Mus musculus: one gene and its partners. The protein of the gene in region 3 binds, or shares a complex with, the protein of the main gene of each other region. Links are inferred from orthologs where the notes say so. Each region holds a gene or a part of one and is shown on either strand. Other genes may lie near its edges.

The links.
Region 1: Gtf2e2 (region 3) and Polr2d share a complex: the UniProt entries of both Homo sapiens proteins name them as parts of the TBP-based Pol II pre-initiation complex. The link is inferred for Mus musculus from reciprocal best matches to the Homo sapiens genes GTF2E2 and POLR2D.
Region 2: Gtf2e2 (region 3) and Ercc3 share a complex: the UniProt entries of both Homo sapiens proteins name them as parts of the TBP-based Pol II pre-initiation complex. The link is inferred for Mus musculus from reciprocal best matches to the Homo sapiens genes GTF2E2 and ERCC3.

Annotation. Positions count from the first base shown.
Region 1 is NC_000084.6:31,793,907-31,797,487, forward strand, and holds the end of Polr2d (DNA-directed RNA polymerase II subunit RPB4), read left to right. Parts: intron 1-1,381; coding exon 1,382-1,477; intron 1,478-2,143; coding exon 2,144-2,222; 3' UTR 2,223-2,803; downstream 2,804-3,581. UniProt on the Homo sapiens protein: Core component of RNA polymerase II (Pol II), a DNA-dependent RNA polymerase which synthesizes mRNA precursors and many functional non-coding RNAs using the four ribonucleoside triphosphates as substrates.
Region 2 is NC_000084.6:32,242,733-32,247,270, reverse strand, and holds part of Ercc3 (general transcription and DNA repair factor IIH helicase subunit XPB), read right to left. Parts: intron 4,308-4,538; coding exon 4,071-4,307; intron 2,473-4,070; coding exon 2,423-2,472; intron 1,783-2,422; coding exon 1,647-1,782; intron 1,520-1,646; coding exon 1,352-1,519; intron 705-1,351; coding exon 500-704; intron 1-499. UniProt on the Homo sapiens protein: ATP-dependent 3'-5' DNA helicase/translocase. Binds dsDNA rather than ssDNA, unzipping it in a translocase rather than classical helicase activity. Component of the general transcription and DNA repair factor IIH (TFIIH) core complex.
Region 3 is NC_000074.6:33,755,542-33,760,079, reverse strand, and holds part of Gtf2e2 (general transcription factor IIE subunit 2), read right to left. Parts: intron 4,229-4,538; coding exon 4,121-4,228; intron 1,525-4,120; coding exon 1,342-1,524; intron 1-1,341. UniProt on the Homo sapiens protein: Recruits TFIIH to the initiation complex and stimulates the RNA polymerase II C-terminal domain kinase and DNA-dependent ATPase activities of TFIIH. Both TFIIH and TFIIE are required for promoter clearance by RNA polymerase.

The DNA of each region.
Region 1 (3,581 bases), on a different chromosome or scaffold from region 3:
CCTTCGGAAGAGCAGTCAGTGCTCTTACCTGCTGAGCCATCTCACCAGCCTTATTATTATTATTAATCATTATTTATTATTATTATTACTATTACTACTTCTACTACTGAGACAGATTTGTATCTCTGTAGACCAGGCTGCCGTGAGCGTGTGCCATCAGGCACAGCAATTCTTTTTTTTTTTGTTTTCTTTTTTTAGTTTTTGGGGTTTTTTGGTTTTTTTTCAAGACAGGGTTTCTCTGTGTAGCCCTGGCTGTCCTGGAACTCACTCTGTAGACCAGGCTGGCCTTGAACTCAGAAATACACCTGCCTCTGCCTCCTAAGTGCTGGGATCAAAGGTGTGCGCCACCACGCCTGGCTAGCAATTCATTTTTTTTATGTTGTTTATATGTATATAGATGCTTTTCTATATGTGCACCATGTATATTCAATGCCAGCACTAGCAGAGGCCAGAGAGGAGTTGTAGACGTGTGGAGCCACCCAGTGTAGATGCTAGGAACCTCACTTGGGTCCTCTGAACATTAGCAGATGCTTTTCCTGCTGAGCCATCTCGCCAGTCCTCTAGAGTATATAAGTTTTTACTACATACATTTTGAAACCAAACTTATTCTAGTAAGCTTTATTAAATTATTCAATTTTTATTTTATGTGTACGAGTGTTTTACCTCTGTACCACACAAGTGCCCAGTATCACGGAGTCCAGAGTGAGTCCTTTGGATCTGGAATTTCAAACTGTTGTGAGCCATCGTGTGGGTACTGTGAACTCAACCTGTGACCTCTAAAAAGAGCATCACTTAACTCCCGAGTTCCCTCTCCAATGCAGCGTGTATATGCCGCCTTACCCTGCTGGGCTCTTTTCAGGGTTCTTGGCTCTGCCTGCTGTTTTTCATTTGTTTTTTTGTTTTTGTTTTTGTTTTGTTTTTTGTTTTTTTCTGGAACTTGTTGATTTTCTGGGGTAGGAACAGGAAGTGACTTCAAAGGAGGATTCTGATGCCCACATAACCATAATCAAATATTACAATCTCCTTTTTGCTATTGATGAATGATTAGCATTTGACCGACACTGAATGAGAACATAATTTTTTTTGTTTTTTGAGACAGGGTTTCTCTGCGTAGCCCTGGCCGTCCTGGAACTCACTTTGTAGACCAGGCTGGCCTCAAACTGAGAAATCCACCTGCCTCTGCCTCCCAAGTGCTGGGATTAAAGGCGTGCAATACCACGCCCGGCCTAATTTTTGTTTTTTATTAGCATATAACTACACATAGTAATGGGTCCCACTGTGACATTTTTATTCAAGTATATATTTTGATCATACTTATTTCCCCCCATTACTGCTCACTTCATCACAGTCTTTCTGTGTTTTTATTTTCCGCTACAATCAGCTTGCTTCTCCAGAAAAAGTTACATAAGTTTGAGTTGGCCTGTTTAGCCAATCTTTGCCCGGAGACTGCTGAAGAGTCCAAAGCTCTGATTCCAAGGTTAGTACCGGATGGGATAGATTTCTGTCTATTTTCTATAGATTTCTATAAGTCAAATTGCTAGAACTAAAAGTTGTATGCATTTAATATTTGGGTTAATGACATGGCAGCATTGAATAGGAATGTAGTTGAATGGTGTTTGAGATAGGATTTGGGGATTGGTTTTGTGGTTTGTTGGTGGTAGTCTCAGGTAACCAAGGCTTTCCTTGAACATCTTGATTGTCTTGCTTTCACCTGTCAAGGGCTGGGATTACAGGTGTAAATGGTCATGCTGGCTTAAGAATAGTTTGAGTTGCTGGGCAGTGGTGGCGCACGCCTTTAATCCCAGCACTCGGGAGGCAGAGGCAGGCGGATTTCTGAGTTTGAGGCCAGCCTGGTCTACAGAGTGAGTTCCAGGACAGCCAGCCAGGCTACACAGAGAAACCCTGTCTCGAAAAAAACAAAACAAAACAAAATTAAATTTACATCATGTGTGACTGTTGAAGCTTTTAAAAATCTTTTTTCTATTTACAACTTTTTAGTGCTTATATAAAGGAATGTCAAAAACCATTCAGTTTAAACTTCGAGGCAGTAGAGCTAAGCGAGCTGCTCGGAGATGAGCCTCCTTTGACAGACTGGGGAAACCTCCAGCGGCCAAGTCACTTACATTTCTTGGTTTTCTTACAGCCTGGAAGGGCGTTTTGAAGATGAGGAGCTGCAGCAGATTCTCGATGACATCCAGACGAAGCGCAGCTTCCAGTACTGATCCGCAGACGTCACTCTGCTCCTTGAGTTACAGCACCACGGTCTGAAGCCTGGGGAGGCCTCATGCAGGAACATTGCTTCAGAAGACGCTGGAGCTTCTTTCGTAGTTTTTGCTTCACTGCGAGAGAGTGTCTCTCCAGTTCTCAAAGTCATAACAGTCCTCCTGCCTCAGCCTCGCAGGTGCTGGGATTACAGGTGTGAGCCAACACTTTCAGCTTGGCTTCTGGAGAGGAAAGAAAGGCTGGCTATTGATGCTGTAGGTGCTATCTTCACAGTGACTGTTAGACCATAACTACCATCTGCGCTCCTTGCAGCCTTTTAAGGCTGCTGTGGTCAGGCAGGCTGCCATCCTGAACTGCTGAGGTAGAATGATGTTCAAACATTCGTTGACTACTTCGTACCGTGGTTTTTTTGGACCCCATGTTACTATTTTTTTGTTCTTGACACTTCAGATTTTAATGTCAATTATTTTGTAGTTTTTGAAGCTAAAATGATATATAAAAAACTTGCATAGGAGAGGAGTGTTTTCACTTGGTTGTAAAGGGGAGAAATAAACCAGAACACTGTTTTTTTTTAAAAGAATTGTATTTATTTGTTAATGGGGAGAGGGTACATGATCCATGGCACATGTGTGGGGGGCAGGAGTCAGTTCTGTCCAAAGTCTTGTACATACTAGAAAAGTGCTGTACCATTGAGCAACACTCTAGCCCAGAAGTTGCTTTTGTTTGTTTGTGTGTTGTACATATGTATGTGCAAGTGTGTGCATCTATGTAAGGAGACTAGCAGAGGACATTGGGTGTATACCCATATTTCTGTCCTTTGAAATGGGCTCTGTCTCACTGAACCTATATCTAGGCTGGATGACCAAAAGCCCCAACAATCCTGTCTTCACTTTCTCTTTTTGCTTGTACCTTGGGGTTCAAGGCATGTACAGTGGGAACACAGCAGTCTTTTCACTAACGGTAGTGCTAATGGACAGACTCAGGTCTTCATGCATAGCACATACCCTTATTCACTGAGCCAGTCCCCAGCCACCCTGCAATGTTTAAAGAGTGAGAGACAGTTGACTAAAAGAACTTTGCCACCACTCTGCCTGCCCTGGACACAGGATGGAAACTCACCATGGGGAGCACCGTCTAGGGTCCTTAGCCTTGTGGTAGACATACTTCATCTTAAGGGAAAGGAGGCTGTCTTGGAGAATGTATTTGAAGTGGCCTTAAAGAGTTCATATTGTCACCTTCAAATTAAGATAGGTCAGATTGGAAGACCTAAACACTAAAGACTCCTCATAAGGTAGATACCTAATCCAAACCTCTGATCCAATACTGAGTGACACGTATTCTGTTACCGAGGTGATATG
Region 2 (4,538 bases), on a different chromosome or scaffold from region 3:
TCCGGTTCTCTGACGCCTGCATTATCAGGAAGACTCTTCATAAGTGTCTTAGCAGAGCTATTTCAGTCATTCGCTACCCAAGCTGAATGAGATCTGATACCCACAGGGTCTAGACCAATGGATCGTAACCTCTGGGTCTCAACCCCTTTTGAGATTGAATGACCCTTTCACAGGGGTCACATAAAGTCATTCTGAATATCATATTTACATTACAATTCATAACAATAGCAAAATTACAGTTATGAAGTAGCAATGAAATAAGTTTATGGGTGGGAGTCGCCATAACATAAGGAACTGTATTAAAGGGTCCCAGCATTAGGGACATTGAGGGCCACTGGCCTAGACCAAGAGCTTCACAAAGCAAGTACTTCAATAAGCGTCAGTCAACTACCAAATGAGGAAGTGACCTTGGCCACTTAAAGGCAAAGTGCTACACAGGGAAACACACCGAGCAGGGAGGAGGCAGCTGGCAGACAAAGATGGAGCCTTCCTCACTTACCACAGGGAAGAACAATGACTCCTGAGCGTGCTCGTCCGTTCCCAAACATCTTCCGCAGGCTCTTCTCCTGATAGGGTCTGAGTACGGCTGTGGGCTTCAGGTCAATGTTGATGTCAGGATTGAGAGTGTCATTCCGGAAGTCATACTCTGCCAGCAGCGGGTACTCTAAGCAGATGCAGCGCTTCTGCAGCTCCTCGATCATTTCCTAGTAGCCAGCAGGAAGGACGTGTGACGATCTCAACTCCAGAGTGTCCGAGACAATATTCAAAAGGGCCGCATGATCGAAACCTGGCCTTTTATCTGGATGTATACAATTTCAGACCTTGCTTGCTAACAACTAGGTTTGCACAGAAAGGCAGCACAAACTAGTAACCCAGTCAAAATCAATGTACTATTTGGCTAGTTGATTTTTTTTCTTGTTGTTTTGGTTTTTGTGAGTCAAGTCCCATCTATTCCAGGCCAACCTTAAGTTCTGTCTGGTGGAGGATGACCGTCAACTGCTGATCCCTCCTCCCCTCCCACTTTCAGGCTGTGACACACACTACCGTGCGTAGTTTACGAGGTGCTAGAGATTGAACCCAGGGACTTACAGCTACGAAGAAAGTTATTCTACCAGCAGATCCGTATTCCTGGTCTCCTCAAAATGAACTTTAATCTGAACCAAAATGGATCCTATGGAGAGCAGCTTCCTAGGCCACGGAAGGACTCTCAGCCCATAACTCCCACCAGGAGAATGCCATGGCTTATACTTGTGTAGAACCCAAACAGAAACATACAGGGGTCCCTTTCTTTACCTCACAGTGGAGGGTGCTGACACAAGGCAAGACTGGTAACCAGGAAGCAGTCACTAACCTGCTTAACTTCAAAGGACACTGTCTGTGTCTCTTCCTCCTCCTCCTCATCCTTGTCCATTTGCTCATAAAAATCAAACAGGTCTTTGGGTATGTCAGACGTGGCCTGTGCATCTACCCCCTGCGAAGTAGAAGGCCCGCCACTGCCTTCCGCCGCCGTCTTAGAAATCTGTGAGAGAAAGGTAGGAATCCAGACTCTGCACCTTGTTACCAACCATGAACTGAAGCTGTGCTGGGGACCAGGAAAACTGAGGTCCTAAGTGCCCAGCCCCCAGGAAACCCAGGAGCTCACGCACAGCAGATTTGCTTGTAAAAGTCTCTGTGATGAGTTCGGTGGCCTCGCCCTCGGCGTTCCTCAAGCGACATTCCCGGATCACTGGGTCTTGAAGAAGATGCTGGATAACATCAGGGTGGGAACTTTCAACAAAGTACCTACAAGCAGGAGAGGAAGGGAGTCCCTGCTGGCCAGCACTGCATTTCTAGAACATTCTGCAATTGTAACTCAGTTGGGTGATCTGAAAATTACAGCCTCGTAATGACTCTCCCCACACCTTTGTCAAATCAGAGAGAGGAGCTATGGGCAAAGCTCTAACAGGCTGAGGGTCAGAGGAGAACGGCACCCTGAAGTTAAGTCAGCATGTCAGCAGCAGGAGTGAAAACGCCCTTCCTTGTGAACTCTCCTAAACCTGGTTGCACCCGGGAAAGGAGCAGAGTTAAACTCAAAGGTCAGAAATGCTCTCAGCTTGAGTGTGGTCGCTGCGATTCACGCTCTTCTTTAAAGCATCTGTATGTAAAAAGGAAACCCTACTGCCTGTGTGCATCATCATCACTGCCAATGTTAACTTCCAGACGCTTGACGGTCACTCCGCTGCAGGGCCTCCTTCTCCTTCCGGGGTCCCCTCAACTCCCCATCTATGTCTCAGGAACGGTGTGAGCCCGCCCTCCCTCCCGCCCTCTCTGCCCTTCCTCCCTCCCTCTCTCCCCTCCCTCCTGCCCTCCCAGCCTTCCCTCCCTCCCTCCCTCCCTCCCTCCCTCCCTCCCTCCCGGCTGGCACACAGAGGGCAGTGCTCACCTGTTGTGCTTGAGGACCAGCTTGACCTTCCCATAGCTGACAGTGCACAGCTGTAAGCAGAGGAACAGCAAGAGACAGGCTACGTCAGCGCTCAGAGCATGCTACTCCACCAGGCTCAGCACCCGGCCAAGGGACCGGTGGGTGTACTTTCGGAAAACATCAGCCACAGCCACAGCTGCCTCAAGGGGGCTTTTGTCCGTTGACCTCCATAGTTTTGGGATAAACCCATCCTTTGCCTAATTCATATGCCTAGCTTTTTATTTACAAACCACTATTTACAACCTCTGCTGTGTTTTCCGTTTTCCTTTCCCCTGCATGGCCACAGCCCCCATCCCGACCTGGAAGCCCATCCTGCTTCCCCAGAAGTCACCAGGCACAGTGAGTGCTGGCAGGACCTGCTACACACAGTAAGTTCAAATACCACAAATGTTTAGACCTTCACACCAATGTTCTCCATTTCCACAACCTAAAGAATGCCATCTTTTCTTCATTGTATTGGCAAGTGAACTCAAGACCATGAAGCTATATCCCGAACCACCACCACCTCTATTTTTAAGTTTTGAGACAAGTTAGAAATTAACCTTACAATCCTCCTCCCTAGACATCTGGCACTAAGGGGCGCGTGCCACCTTGCCAGCACAGTGTAAGCCTCTGAGGGACAGGGAATAGAGTTTAAGTCCCCAATCTGCTGGAAGGGAGCAGGTCGTTTGTGTGTTCGCCATAACTTGCTACTGAGATTGTGAGCTGCCCCTCAGAGCACAACAGCACTGCCCCAGCACGACTACCGTCCTTTAGACCATGTAGACCAAAGGCCTAGCCCTGGTGCTTTCTTCGTCAGCATCCTTCTGCATCACAGAACAGAGAACTCTGTCGTGCTCCCAGGCTTCTGCTCATGGCACACTCTTCTGCTTCCAGACTGAAATCTAATTTGAAGTCCTTTCAGATTAGCCAATACTAACAAAAACTGTTCTCCTATCTTCTGTGAATAATATACACCTATATTCAACTGCTGTTCCCATGAAACCCTCTTCAGGTCAACATTTCAAGTTTTGTCTTACCCTAATACACTTAATTTACCATGGATCTTAAGTATTTACCTTACATGGAGCTCACTTCCTGTAACAGCTAACCACCAAAAAAACTCCACAACAAAAGCTTATGTTCTCAGAGTTCTAACTACTCAGGATCAATGGACCAGGACCAGCTAATTCAGGCTGTGGTAAGGTCTCCTGGCTAGAAGAGAGTCACCTTCTCTCTACACAGTCCCATAAAGAAGGGACTTATGACAACTGTATAATTCCTAATAAAGACAAGCACCTTCTGAATGGGGAGACATTTATGACCTCATTTAGTCTTACTAACACACAGGTATTTGGGGTTAGGATTCTGATATGTACATGCAGGCTATAGTTCCATCTATCCAGAGCTGGATTCTCAAGTAACCCTGGCCATAGTGGACCTGAACTTCTACTCCCATGGCTTGGAGCAGCCCACAAAACACATGATCTCAGCCAGAACCATGGCTGGATCTAAAGTGGCAGCAGCTAGGCACGAAGCTATTTTGCTATCAAAGGAAACACAAATCAGACATTTCAATGACAACATATAGTAAGTACGCACCTGAGCACAAGAGTTGCTAGTAACTCACCTTAATAAACTGGATAATTCCATCAGGAACTCCAGTCTTACTGAGCTTTCTGAGGTACTCAGTAATGTCACTGGTTTGCAGCCCAACACTGACCGCTGCATAGAGGGAGTAGGCGGTTAGCTTGTATTCATGTACATGAGTAGGCCGGCACACCGGCTCTGCAATTGCCACCAGGAAGTCTTGGGCATATTTGTAAACTGGAGAGAAGGCTTCCAAGAAAATGTGGCCATCAGGAGCCTAAAAGGCATCAAGGGAACACAACAGGCAAGAATATCAATGAGCTGCAGAGACTATGTCACAGGATTTCTGATCACACTGCGAACCTGAGACTGTGTTATTTACTAAAAAAAAAAAAAGGAAAGGAAAGGAAAGGAAAGGAAAGGAAAGGAAAGGAAAGAAAAGAAAAGAAAAGAAAAGAAAAGAAAAGAAAAGAAAAGAAAAGAAAAAACCTTCTCCTAGTTGTATGGC
Region 3 (4,538 bases):
GCACTAGCCAAACATGCAATGGCAACAAGCAGCTTTTACAAGTGAGCCTCAAATTTAATCCCGAAAATGTATTCTTCATGACCATAACTTTCACTGCCAACCCCTTAGGACATCAGAACTTGTTAGTAAGTAATGGCCCTGGTATGTTTCAATGCCTCTAGTTCCTTGGGTAAGCATTATCAAATACTATTGTTGGAAGAGTTTTTATTTCAAATAACAAGAGAAACACTAATGCCTTTGTGAAAAACTTTCTAGAAATCTGAAGAACTAAATCATTATGCAACATAAAAACAAAACAAAACACATGCCTCCCCCTTCCCCCCGAAAAACCTGTTAACATTACACAAAGGTGATTATTTTCTTTCCTGCTCTGTGGCACCGAACAAAGTGTTTTTTAGTTTGTGTGTAAGTGCTTTGTCTAAATGCAGGTATGTGCACCATGTGTGGGCCTAGTGCACTCAGAGGTCAGAAAAGGGAGTCATATCCCTGTGAAGTGGAGTTAGACAGTGCTGTGAGTCACCATGTGGGTGCTGGGAACAAACCCAACTGCTAAGCCATTTATCCTTCCAGCTCCACAAAATTCAAATTTTAACTGGACCACTAAAGCCCCATGTATACAGAATAAAGACTTTAAAAATAACTCCACTTTCTTCCCTCCCCTTTCTTTCTCCCTTTTTTCTTTCCTTCCTCTTCTCTTCTCCCCTCCCCCTCCCCTCCTCTCCCCTCCTCTTCTTTCTCTCTCTCTCTCTCTCTCTCTCTCTCTCTCTCTCTCTCTCTCTCTCTCTCAAGTTTAAAACCATGAAGAGCAGACTAGAAAGATGACTCAAGTTAAAAGCCCTTGCTACTCTTCCAAAGGACCCAAGTTCAGTTCCCAGCAGGCAGTGTGAGCTTTAGCTCCAGGGGATCCAACACCCTCTCCTTTCCTTGACATGGGCAGCTACCCAAAGATACACGCATAAAAACAAGTGTATCTTAAAATCATAAGAAGCGCCGGGCATGGTGGCACATGCCTTTAATCTCAGCACTCGGGAGGCAGAGGCAGGCGGATATTCTGAGTTCCAGGACAGCCTGGTCTACAGAGTGAGTTCCAGGACAGCCAGGGCTGCACAGAGAAAGCCTGTCTCGAAAAACAAAAAAAACCAAAAAAAAAAGCATAAGAAGCTGGGCATGGTAGCCACCTTTCATGGTAACCCCCACTTTCAGGGGTAAAGGCACACAGATCTCTCAGTTCCAGGACAACCAGGGCTACATACATAGTAAGACCCTGTCTCAGGAAAATAAAAAACCACAACATTACTAATTCAAATTATAGTTATGATACAGGAGGAAAAGAAACATTACCTTGACAGCTTTCTGGGAATTAGGCAGTCCCTCTTCTATGTCTTCTAAGAGAATTCCTCCTAGTCCCCGCTGGTCATGATTGTCTAAAAGCCTAAGCAGGGCCTTCTTATCTTTCAAGTTGTACTTAGGTTTGAAGGCATATTTCCCATCCACTACTTCAATTTTAGGATTGTTGACTAAAGCCTGTAAAAATAACACAATTTGGATATATTTATAAAAAGCAAACCCCATGTGTATGTTCTTAAATTCTAGCATCACCCAACACAGTGGCATCCTGAAGAATCATATGAACATAAACTAGCAGACCTAAAACACCAGATATCTAGGATCCCAGACCAAGTGAGTCAGCATAAAGTTTGCTTCTTACTTAAAAGCAAATGAAAATTTCATACATTATTTGCATACATTCTTTAGAGAGAAACTCGTTTTATCATAGCTACTTTGAAGAACATTTACTCTTTTAGAAGACAAAGTAAGGCTGGAGAGACGGCTCAGCAGGTAAGAGCACTGACTGCTCTTCCAGAGGTCCTAAGTTCAAATCCTATAATCTCAGCAGTTAGGAAGCTGAGGCAGGAGACTACTGCCAAGTGTGAGCCAGCCTATATTACAGAGTAAGATTTCAGCTAGAAGTAGTGGCATAAAACTTTGACCCCAGAACCTGGGAAGCAAATGGATCTCAGTGAGTCTGAGGCCAGCCTGGTCTACACAGTGAGTTCTAGGCCAGCCTGGTCTACACAGTGAGTTCTAGGGCAGTCAGAGCTACACAGTGAGACCCTGTTTCAATCAATCAATCAATCAATAAACAAACAAACAAAAAAATCACACCCACATAAAAAGAATAAAACAAAAACAACAGTCTTAGGCAGGTTCTGCTTCTAGTCACTGGTGAGTAAGTGACAGCAGACATGACCTTCTGTGACTTGGACTAAGTCAAATCACTTCACAGTATGAAAATCAAGAAGTACATCTGACTTGATAAAATAAATTAATTGAATTAGGCCAGTCATGGTGGCACACATCTATTTTTTTTAAGGATTTATGTATTTTTGTAAATGAGTTCATATATATACATATTTCATATATATATGAGTATGCTATCTTCATGTTCACCAGAAGAGGGCATCAGATCCTATTACAGATGGTTGTGAACCACCATATGGTTGCTGGGAATTGAACTCAGGACCTCTGGAAAAAGCAGCCAGTGCTCTGAGTCATCTCTCTACTCCAGCACATGTCTTTAATCCCTGCATTTGAGAGACAGAGATAGGAGGATCTTTGTGAGAGAAAATCTGCCTCAAATAAATAAATAAATAAATGATTACATCTGGTTGTTTAGGGGGTATTCCTTTTGTGTTGTTTGCTTTACTGTAGCCCAGACTGGCTTTGAACTCACTATGATTAATGATGCCGTGGTCCTTCTGCTTTTATATCCCAAGTGCTGGGATTACAGACATGTACAACTACATCCCAGCTCACATTGGGTCCGCAGATACATCACTGATCTTGAAAAGTAGTATTCGTTAACACCAATAAACTTTAAAGAAGGTCTAGAGAGATGGCTCAGCAGTTAAGAGCACTGACTGCTCTTCCGAAGGTCCTAAGTTCAAATCCCAGCAACCACATGGTGGCTCACAACCATATGTAATGAGATCTGACGCCCTCTTCTGGTGTGTCTGAAGACAGCTACAATGTACTCACATATAATAATAAAATAAATCCTTAAAAAAAATAAATAAAATAAACTTTAAAGAAGCAAATACTAAAATAGCTGTCATTCATTCACTTGCAAACTGGCATGGTCAGAGACTGTTTTAGGCGTTCTTCAAATGGTATGTATTTATTTAAACATTAACAATCATATTATTTCTCTAAGTAACTAGAAAAAATAACTCATTTATCAAACCACAGAATGCTAATAATGTAATAAAATGGTTTACTGTCCCATCTTAGGCTTTAAATTTTCTAAAGCATATATGCAATATATAACTTGTGAGTATATAAGATTATGAGTTTGACAATTCAAAATACTATTTATGACAATGAAAAATTGGTACACAGACTTCACAATTCTACTGTAGTCTTAGAGGACCTTTTAAAACATAAATAAAATTATATGGAAACCAACAGCCAAACAAATTATAAAAATGTGTACATTTAAATTCAACCAAGACTATACATCAAGTCTCTTAAGAAAAAGTAAAAAATATTAACAAATTACAGGATTAAAAAAAAAACCCACTCTGAGCCAGGCACATTGACTCATGAAGCTAAAGCACAGAGTGCACTGAGCCTGAAGTCAACATGGATGACAATATGAGACCTTGCCTCCCACCCACCTTTCTCCTCGCCTCTCTCCCCGTCTGACACACACACATGTGCAGACACCCACCCCATCCCAAAATAGTAAAACACGTCTACAGTTGAAGATGACTTGACAGTGGACCGTTCTAGCACATGCTGGGCTGGGTTCCATCTCCAGCACCACACTCACCACAAAAAAAGAACTCTGTAGCAGACACACCTTTCTGTAATGAAGTAATGTTTACATTAGTGTTAAGACTGCTCTTACCGGGCTGGTGAGATGGCTCAGTGGGTAAGAGCACCCGACTGCTCTTCCGAAGGTCAGGAGTTCAAATCCCAGCAACCACATGGTGGCACACAACCATCCGTAACGAGATCTGACGCCCTCTTCTGGAGTGTCTGAAGACAGCTACAGTGTACTTACATATAATGAATAAATAAATCTTAAAAAAAAAAAAAAAAAAAAGACTGCTCTTACCTCCGTCATCAGCCACTGTTTCTGCTTGAGTCCGATGTCTAAGTGCTGTGTCTCATCCAGAATCTCTTCCAACGTTAGAGGATGTGTATCTCCCCGCTGATGTCGTGTCTAGTAGCAAAGTTTTCAAATGCGTTCACTAAGTCATATATAAACTAATATTTTCAGGAATATACAACATGTGATATCTGAGACAGTATGAATACCAGGATCAAGAACATGAAATCATACAAAATCAGGTTGATAAAAAAAATCAAATGATAAACTGAGAAGAAAAAAAAATCAATAACTAAGTCGGGTATGGAGGGTACACACCTGTAACCCCAGCATGAGGGACGCTCAGGCAGGATAACCAAAAGTTCAAGACCAGCCTAGGCTACATGATGAGTTCAAGTCTAGCCTAATCTACATAGTAAGTTCA